2 linked regions of the Coturnix japonica genome follow. The protein of the gene in region 2 interacts with the protein of the main gene of each other region in a biochemical or structural test. Links are inferred from orthologs where the notes say so. Each region holds a gene or a part of one and is shown on either strand. Other genes may lie near its edges. The genes, in order: NFYA and ZHX1.

What was found.
Region 1: the proteins of ZHX1 (region 2) and NFYA form a complex in vitro, tested with the Homo sapiens proteins (2 studies listed by BioGRID). The link is inferred for Coturnix japonica from reciprocal best matches to the Homo sapiens genes ZHX1 and NFYA.

What each region holds. Positions count from the first base shown.
Region 1 is NC_029541.1:4,499,824-4,504,412, forward strand, and holds the start of NFYA (nuclear transcription factor Y subunit alpha), read left to right. Parts: upstream 1-1,574; 5' UTR 1,575-1,800; intron 1,801-2,956; 5' UTR 2,957-3,003; coding exon 3,004-3,078; intron 3,079-4,129; coding exon 4,130-4,216; intron 4,217-4,589. Other genes in the region: ADP-ribose glycohydrolase OARD1, read right to left, coding at 101-159, 292-436, 812-873, 1,125-1,218. UniProt on the Homo sapiens protein: Component of the sequence-specific heterotrimeric transcription factor (NF-Y) which specifically recognizes a 5'-CCAAT-3' box motif found in the promoters of its target genes.
Region 2 is NC_029517.1:124,384,947-124,389,442, forward strand, and holds the start of ZHX1 (zinc fingers and homeoboxes protein 1), read right to left. Parts: upstream 3,032-4,496; 5' UTR 2,817-3,031; coding exon 192-2,816; 3' UTR 1-191. UniProt on the Homo sapiens protein: Acts as a transcriptional repressor. Increases DNMT3B-mediated repressive transcriptional activity when DNMT3B is tethered to DNA. May link molecule between DNMT3B and other co-repressor proteins.

The sequences.
Region 1 (4,589 bases), on a different chromosome or scaffold from region 2:
ACTTACGTAGGAGAAAGTACTCAATGTTATTAAAGCTGTCACCGTAATATCTAATACAGCCTTGTTACAGGGGAGCATTTGAGTCATTCTCTACTCTTACCAGGTAGTAAATATACCGGTCATCTCTTTGGAGAACTGCCACCTCCCCAGTCTTCTTTTCTAAAGGGAAAAAGGTGCTATTTTAGGAACAGTTACAGTCCTGCTGTGCAACTGACCCTGAAACCCTGGTAGCAACCTTCAAAGCTGGAAATCTTAGTCCTTAAAATCCCACGATGGTACAAAATTACTCACGTTGATCTAACAGCTCTTGGACGCCTCCAAACTTCTTCTTAAACAGGACAGCGATGCCTGCACCCATCCGACAGTCCTCACTGATGCAATGAGCCAACGCGTCCGTTGGGGGGCAGGAAAACAGGTCTCCTTTAACACACTTGATCTAGAAAGCAAACACAGGTGTGAAAGCTGAGTGCTGGCCACGATAACAGAACATCCATGTTAAACCAGTCTGTACAATGCTATCTATTTGGTAGTGCGTTTAATATGTAGATTATAAACTCAATATAGTGATATCTTTTACAGGATCAGATATATGAGAAGCACACTGCAGCTATGCCAGCACCACACACTGCCAGACACTTCAACACCTGAGCTCTGTGCTGATGCCAAGTAACAGCATCACTGATATAAGCCCAACAGCACTTTATTATCTGTCCCAAAAGCTACATGGTCCAATCTGCTGCCAATATGAGGCAGGGATGTCCCAGCACACACAGCAGCAGCCCATAGAACCCTTGTATTATGTACTACGCACTCGCTCGCCCTGCTCCTGGACGTGGGTGGCCATGGTGGTGCGGGCTGTGAAGGCTCCTGCGGCTGGAAAGATGGCGGAGAGAAGAACAGAGTTAATGGAAACCACGGGCTGGGAACGAGGCCGTGTGTGCGCAGGGCTGGGCCTTCACCCAGCAGGGTTAGAGCCGACAATACAGCCGATATGGGGGAAGAACGATAAGGGGAAGCAGGGCCCCAGTGTCCCACAAGGTAGGCCCGGCCAGAGCCCACAGGCCACGTGTTGCTCTCCAGGCCACCCCAGCCCGCTGTAGGCCCCCTCAGCACACACGGCCCACCCGCGGGCACGACGTGAACGACGGGCCGCCCAGCCCGGGCCTGCACGGCGGTGAGCCCGGCCAGCCTGGTGAGCCGGCCCAGCACGGCCCGCATCGCTCCGTCACCTCCACTGCCACACTGCGGCGTCACGTCAAAATGGCCGCCACCACCACCCGCTACCCAGCCCCTCTAGGCAGCCTGGAGGAACGCCGCCTCTATGGTACCCGCCGAGAACATTCCGCAGACCAACCTACCGCCCGAGGGCGCATGCGCGAGACCCTCAGAGGCGGAACCTACAGATCACGTGACGGGATGAGGGCGGAGCCGCGGCGGCGCGTGCGCAGTGCGGGCGTTGGCGGCCCCGCGAGGCACTCGCACCCCTTTGTGCGCATGCGCATTGTGCGCGGGCGGGCGGGCCGCGGGTGGGCGGGGCCATCCGGAGCGAGCGGCACACTGCGCATGCGCCGCCCGCGCCCGCCCCCTCCCCTGCCTTTGTTCGGGGTTGGGCGCCATTTTAACGCGGCGGGCGAGTGCGGGCGCTGATTGGGTTTCGGGGTCCGGTAGCGGAGCCAATCAGCGCGGGACCCGAACCGGGGGAGCGAGGCACGGTGAGTGCGAGCAGCCAATATGGAGCAACCGAGCGGCGGAACCAGCGCCGGGATTGGCGGGACACAGTGACCAGTCAGGAGGCCGCGTGTAGGGCCGGGCTGGGGGGGAACCAGGGGACGGGGCCGAGGGGGAACGGGGGGAAACGGGCGGAGAGAAGGAACGGGCGGAGAGAGCAACGATCGTTGGGCCGAGGGATGGAGGAGGAGGAGGCGGCCAGGCCGGGGCCGCTGCTTGGGGCCGGGCTCCGTGCGGGGCTGCGGGACCGCGGGAGGCAGCGCCCCGCCCTCGAGACGGGAGAGCAGCACCACACGGTGACACATAACACATGGAACGGGTGAAACGGGCCGACCCGCTGATACAGCACACACCGGGTACACACAGCGGGGACACGGCCAACATGGAGCACAATAGTGCTCGGTGCGGGCAGCTGGAGCTGTGGGATGAGCTGTGGGGGAGCACACACTGAACCATAAGGCTGAGCTTTGGGATCCTGCTTTGATAGAGTAACACTAGTGCTTTATTTCAATGAAGGGATCCCTTGGAGGGCTGCGATCTGCACATGTGAAACGTTCAGCTCCCAGCCACAACCTGCACACCTGGATTCAGTGCTACCTTATGTTATAGAGACAGGCCTGACACAAGAGAAAACACTTTCCAATAGAAGCATCCTTTAATTTGTGATTTGGTGCTGGGAGATGTTGCAGATAGAGCTTAGTGGTGTCCTGTGCTTGTTACTGAGCAGCTTCCCTGCAGAATGAGCTGCTTCCTGCTGGGCCCACAGGCAGCGATGGTAGCAATTAAATATGCTGTGCAGAATTCAAATGGAGGCTTTGATAGGCAGCAGCATCTGCAGAGGGAAGAGAATAAAGCATCTTCTGGTAGGCAGTGAGAAACCATTGCTAAGTGAGCACGGATGGGGCTGATGCTGCATCAGAGTGCAGGGCCTTCCTTTGCTGCGACTCAGGCTATCACTGATGTCCAGGCTTAGTATCACTGCATCAAAGTTCTGACCCAGAGTCTCAATTCTTACATTATATTTTATATCTAAGCTTTGTTTTCTGTTCTGAAGTCAGGTGACATTAACAAAGGAAGGGCTGCAATTAGACCATGGCTGTTAATCAGAGTGTGCTCAAGGCACTACCTCCATGTTAGCAGGTGCTTTGCTTTTCAGCTGCTGTAGGTCACAACAACCTTCAGACATTGGGACAATAATCACGTGGGTTTTTTTCTCCTTTCTTGCCAGGTCCACAGACTGCGCTGTGCCTTGGTCAGCCTTGGAACTGAAGCGGGATGGAGCAGTACACAGCCAACAGCAACAGCTCCACAGAGCAGATCGTTGTGCAGGCGGGGCAGATCCAGCAGCAGGTATGGGCAGTTACAATGGTCGAGCTGCTGTTGGTGGGTTACAGACCTTCACAGTTGCAAAGAACCAGCGGGACACTCTGTGATCCCCTCTGAGTTTACCTGAGTTCTGTCACTACAAGAAATCAAAATGAGCACAAGAATTGCAAAAAATGACTAAAAGCCAGGACCACTAAGCATGTAGCTTTGGAGGAGTTCATCCGTGCCAGACAGATCGAGTTTATGTGTTGGAACACACAAGTTGTTTGGCTGGTTTGGGTTCGGTTTTAAGGCTTGTAGGTTTTCAGTTAAGTTTCATCCACTCACACTGATTCCAGCAGGTAACCAAAGATGTATTTGATGTTATTGGTATCTTCAAAGTAATAGAGGTGAACACATTCACTGACCTGTTTCATTTTAAGTACGTGCTCCCAAACACGGTGATTTGCTGCGTGTGAAATGTTTTTCTAAGTGATTTTTTCCACTTGAAGCCAGTTGTAAAGCCTTCAGGAGAGAGGCCGCCCTTCGTCTCTCAAAATGCTAACACGGTTATCATTGATTATTTTGGGACTCTTACTAAGGAGGCTAAAGATAGACGAGGCTTTTAGATTGAACTGCTCTTGCAACATCTCAAGATCGTCCTTCAAGGTCAGTGGTGGGAAGACATAGATGGAGGGATGACACAGATGAACTCAGCAGCACAGCAGACTCTTCCTTGCAGGAAGGAACGTGTGGTACTTGTTGTAACCAACAAGTCGCAATTTTGGAAGCCTTTCACAAGACGTCTGAGCAGTGCAAGGAAACATGGAGCACACAGACAGCAGCAGAGAATTTAGTTCCTGCAAAATGACCTCTCCTGTGTTTTGTAACCAACTTGTGTTTGGAATGTTGAAGCTCATCAGTGTGATGTGCAGATTTGCCAGCATTCCGCCCTTAGATTCGTTAACTCACGTTCTGTGTGTTCCAAGAGCAGCGTATGTGAATTGTAAAATTCATCCTCGTCAGCAAAGTGTGGTTGTGTCTGGTGTGAGCTGTGCATTTCCCTGTTTCAAGCTCTTCCTGTTCCTGTTCCCAGCAGCAGGGTGGTGTCACTGCTGTCCAGCTGCAGACTGAGGCCCAGGTGGCATCCGCCTCAGGCCAGCAAGTCCAGACCCTCCAGGTAGTGGTGACCTCTCTAATTGTGTTTGTGAGCACTGCATGACTCTCCATCACCACATATCTAATGCTGTGTTTTTTACAGGGTTTCAAATAGGGATGGGAAAATTGTTGGCCAATACTGTGTGCTTGATGTGAGGCTTCCCATCAGGTTATAGCTTTTCATTGGATCACAGGTGCATTCATGAATTCCAGCTGTTGTAATTCAGAAAGCAAATAGTGGATGAAATGGGAGTCAAAAGGGAAGAAACTCACCGAGATCATGAAGTCAAGAGACACAGCTTTAAAGAGATACAGCTTAAAGATTTTCTGTACTTCCAAGATTACATTTCTGATACTCAGTGTGAGTAGTTCTGCAGGTTTCATTCCTACATGAAAGG
Region 2 (4,496 bases):
CCATCTCTGGTAGCAAGGAAGCAAATATCTGTTGCCTGCGCAGACAGCATCTTGCCCACGTTCCTTCAGGTGCAACGAAGATGCTAAGCAGGTGCTTGCTGAAGCTGAAGGCCATGAAAAATTGTTTGGCTCTTCACCATAACATCAAACCTAACTCACAGGTTTTTGGCTCCCAGATTCCAAACTGCACATCAATCTGATTTTGAAAGTTTACGCTTAACATGTCGTGGGGGTTCCCAAGTATCACTATCATCCGTTTCCTCTTCATCTTCCTGATCTTCCAGCATTTCATCTTCCTCCTCGTTTTCCTCAAACAGCTCTATTCCGAGTTCTAATCTTCTCTGCCTTTCTGCAAACCACTCTCTGACCTGCTCATACCCCATGTGAGATTTAGCTACGAGTTCATCAAGGTCTTGCTCATTAAGGAATTTGTGCTTCATATAGTAGTCCTTCAAGATTGCTGTTCCAGTTTTGAATTTTATGACAGACACACCTCGGTCCCAGCAATTTAACCTCTTGCTTCCCCGAGGCCTCCCTCGAGGCCTCCCTCTTCCCCGCCCCTTTGGTCTTCCTCTCCCTCTCTTCCTTGAAAAGCCTTGGCCATTCAGACTGTTTGCATTGGCACTCTGGTAGTAATAATACCACTTCAATCCCCCATTTTTCCAGGCATAGCGAGTATCTCCAAACCAACTCACAATTTCTGATCTCGGGAGCCCCGTTTCTTCTGCCAGCTTGTTGTACTCCTGTGGAGATGGCCACTGAGTACGGACAAAAGAACTTTTAAGCATGTGCAACTGCTCTGGTGATTTTTTGCCTACTTTGCTTGAAGCGGTGCTCCCTGATTTTGACCCTGCTGCTCCATCTCCCACAGATGTTTCTCCCGCAGCTTCCTCTTTTGAGCTGCTGGCATTGCTCTCATTCATCTCAGTCCCCTCCTCCTTTAAGACAGTAGATTTCCTTCTTTCTGTAAACCAGGCATCAATCTCTCTCCTGGTAAGTTTGGTTTGGGCTCTTAACCTATTCATCTCTTCATCAGTAAGGACAGGATTATTAAGAAAACTTGCTTGGAGGACTTGCAACTGCTCGGCTGTCTTCTCTTTGAATTTCTGTGGGGTGAAGTCAGGAAATGCACTCCAGGACGACTTGTTCTGTGGAACAACTCCTGTTGGAGACTCATTCATTTCGTCACTGGAGTCAATAATGATGGTGGCACATGAGTCACTGTTGAGATGGATCCCATGGTTATTCTTTGAGTTTCTCTGATTGTAGCGTGTATCGCTGAACCACTTCTTGATCTCTCCCTTAGTCAGGCCTGTTATTTTCATAAGTCTACTAATTTCTGAATCCTGAGGAAACTGATTTTTAAGGTAGCTGACCTTTAATTCTGCCAGTTGCTCCTTTGTTTTTTTTGCTCGCATGCCAAAGTTATCGGGATTCATGTGTGCGGTTTCATTTTTGATAGGCTGAGGGGCTGGAACGGCAGCAACTTGTTTGGTTTCTGCAATAGGCTGAGCAGTGTGAATCTGACTCTTCTGTAACTGGGTTTGGTTTGGGACTCCTGCTACAGTCAAAGCTATTGGGGCTGTTACTGGTAACGTATTTGCACCTGCAACTTGAGTGAGAACAAGTCCTGGCTGACCAACTATTTGGCATGTCTGTAAAATTGAAGGTAAACCATTGCTGGCAGCGGAAATATGCGCTGGAATAACGGTAATTGTCTGTGGCACAGTATGCACTGTGCCATTAAATTGTTTCCTCCTTGCTTCCTCCACTTCCTCTGGTGTCCAGCTCACACCATGTTTCAGACGCTGGGCAGAAAACCAGATTTTAATCTGTTCCTCGGTGTACTTAGCTTGAGTGGAAAGAACAGTGATCTCTGACATGGTTGGATATGGGAATTTGTTATAGGTGTTGAGCAAAAGAGGATTGTTGTCCAAAGCAGTATTATAGGTTGGAATGCTGTTTACAGGTATCAGGACTTTGGGGATCAGGTTTGAGTTCTGTGGAGCTGTAACAGCCGTTATAACCTGTGCCACCCCAGGCTGAATCACTGGGGTCACAACCGTACTAGCTACATCGGCCGCACTGCAAGCAACCGAATGGCTCGCTTTGGACTCAGAAACTGCCAGTGGTGGGTTTTCTACTACTTCTTCAGAGTTTGGCTCATTTTCCTTTCCCTTCTCTTCACCAGGAATGCCATCGACTACATTGTGGAAAACAGCAATGCGTTTAGTCTCAGTTTTGTTTTTCATCATTTTCATAATAGGAGTTTTGCTAATGGAGATCCCAGCGGAGGGGGGCTCAGAAGGGTCAGCCTGTTCAGCATTTTCTTCTCTAACAAAACTCCCATCAAAAGTGAGATCATTTACTGTTTGTTCAAAGATTGTCTGATTATTACGTTTCACCATGGTCAACTTAAAATTCTCCTCTCCAGGGTGATACTTCAAATTATGTTCTGAGAGAGCATCGTATCTTTTGGTGAGAAAATTGCATTCTACACAGACATAGGATGAATTTAATACTACATTGGGATGTTCTGAGTCCACATGGAAAGTAAACATATTGAGATCTGGAGTCTGAAAAGAACAGTATTTACACTCATAACCACCTTCTACTTTATTTGTATTTTTCTGATTGTCTGAATCCACGTTCTCATGGACATCCTCTTCGCTTGCTATGCTCTCTGCTGTAGGATTATTATCTGCTGGCTTGACTACAGGTGGTCCTTCCTCCAAGTCTGATACCATTTCGAGATCCGGATCTTGCTCGTTGGCCAAGACCATGCACGGTGTTGTTGATTTTCGTTTACTTGCCATGCCTGTTAGGTGAAAGTGATACTGACTGGTCAGATACAGACTTAGCTTCAAGCTCTTCTTGATTAATAATAATGGCTTTTGGTACTTCAAGTCAGTTCTTGTAACGTCTCAACATTTATCCCATTAGCAGCTTTTCTTTTGTAGTGCAATCAGATTAAAAAGAGACAGTTGAGGATGAAATGTTGAGACACTGTTTTAAAGTCCACATCCACCACCTGTAGCAAAGAAGAGACAGTATAATTAGTTCAATTTAAAGAGTATCTTCTATTCTGACACACAGTATGATTTAATTCAACCCTTTGGTGTTCAATCTGCCACTGTTCACCCCTGAAACCAGCAGACCCATTCCAAGAAGAGACTGATCCTCAAGGCTAGAGTAAGAAAGGCAAATTCCAACTTACTTATTATCAGCTCAAATTTATGCAATGAATGCAACAAAAGGCATAAGACAGAGAATGGCACAGAAAATATAATCTTCTGTTTCCCTACAAATTTTGGCAGTCTTACCCTTGGACTGCTTTATCTAGGCTACAACACTCTTTCAGCTGCAATAGAAGCTCAAGTCCTTCCCATCACAAACTCAGCATGGCATCCCCGTGATGGTCTTGTCTGCTATGCCCAAGGGTGTGAAGGCTCCTAGAAAATGAACGCTTAGCATATTTTTCTACTGCATTATGTACATACATGTATGCATGCCCTGGGTCATTTCTCCCAAGTTTGAAAAGAGACGAAACAACGCCTTGTTAAGGCACTCCACAAGACAGGGATGGCAGACCTCTCTTCCTAGCTCCCCAGATGTCATTCTCCAATTGAAGGCCAATCCCAGACCAATAAATTGTTAGCATGTGGTAATTAACTACATTGTTTTCATAGCTCCGTGCATTAATGGGGACAAGACTGACCATGCAAACTTCACTAGAGAAAAGGCATTAAAGAGTGACACAGTAGGCAGAAGCCAAAGAAAATTATATATTTTCTATTCAGAATTCCTACTTCATTTATAAGAAAAAAACTACTGAAGTACAAATTAAATTTGAGGCCTACATAAATTCAGAGAATAAATATGTTCTTAAATTGCCCAGAGTGGAGTGAGCTGTTATCCCATGGGGACCACAACTAGTCTATTGGAAATGATGCACAAGCTACTGAAAAGGGTTATAAACTCTGTAACAGTTTCCTTCTTAAAACAAAATGAGACACTGATTGCTCAAGCCAGAAATCCCATAGATTCATGAATTTTTATATAGCAGAACATCACCTACTTCCCAGAGCAATGGCATGCTCAAGTGCAAAAGGAAGACTCAAGCAGCTGTTTCAGAAGGTTTATAAAGGTAACAGCATGTAACAGGTTAAAAACAGAAAGACAGCTTTGCTCATGACAGAATCTTAAAAGAAAGCAGTGTCAAAAGAAGAGTAAAGAAGTGAGAAAGGGAAAAAAATACCATTTCTGCTCCAAACACAATCTTTAATTTTGATAACGTGGACAGCAGATGCTGTTCTTAACCTCACACATTTTTTCTTCAGGCCAAAGACATTAGCGTTCATCCACAGCTATCACACAGCACTGCTCTGTAAGCTGATTTTTGAGACTGCACATCACCACAGTCATCTGCAAAATCCTCACCAAATGTCTGTAAGTGATCCTCCAAATCTATCTGTACTACTTCTGTGCACAGCCTG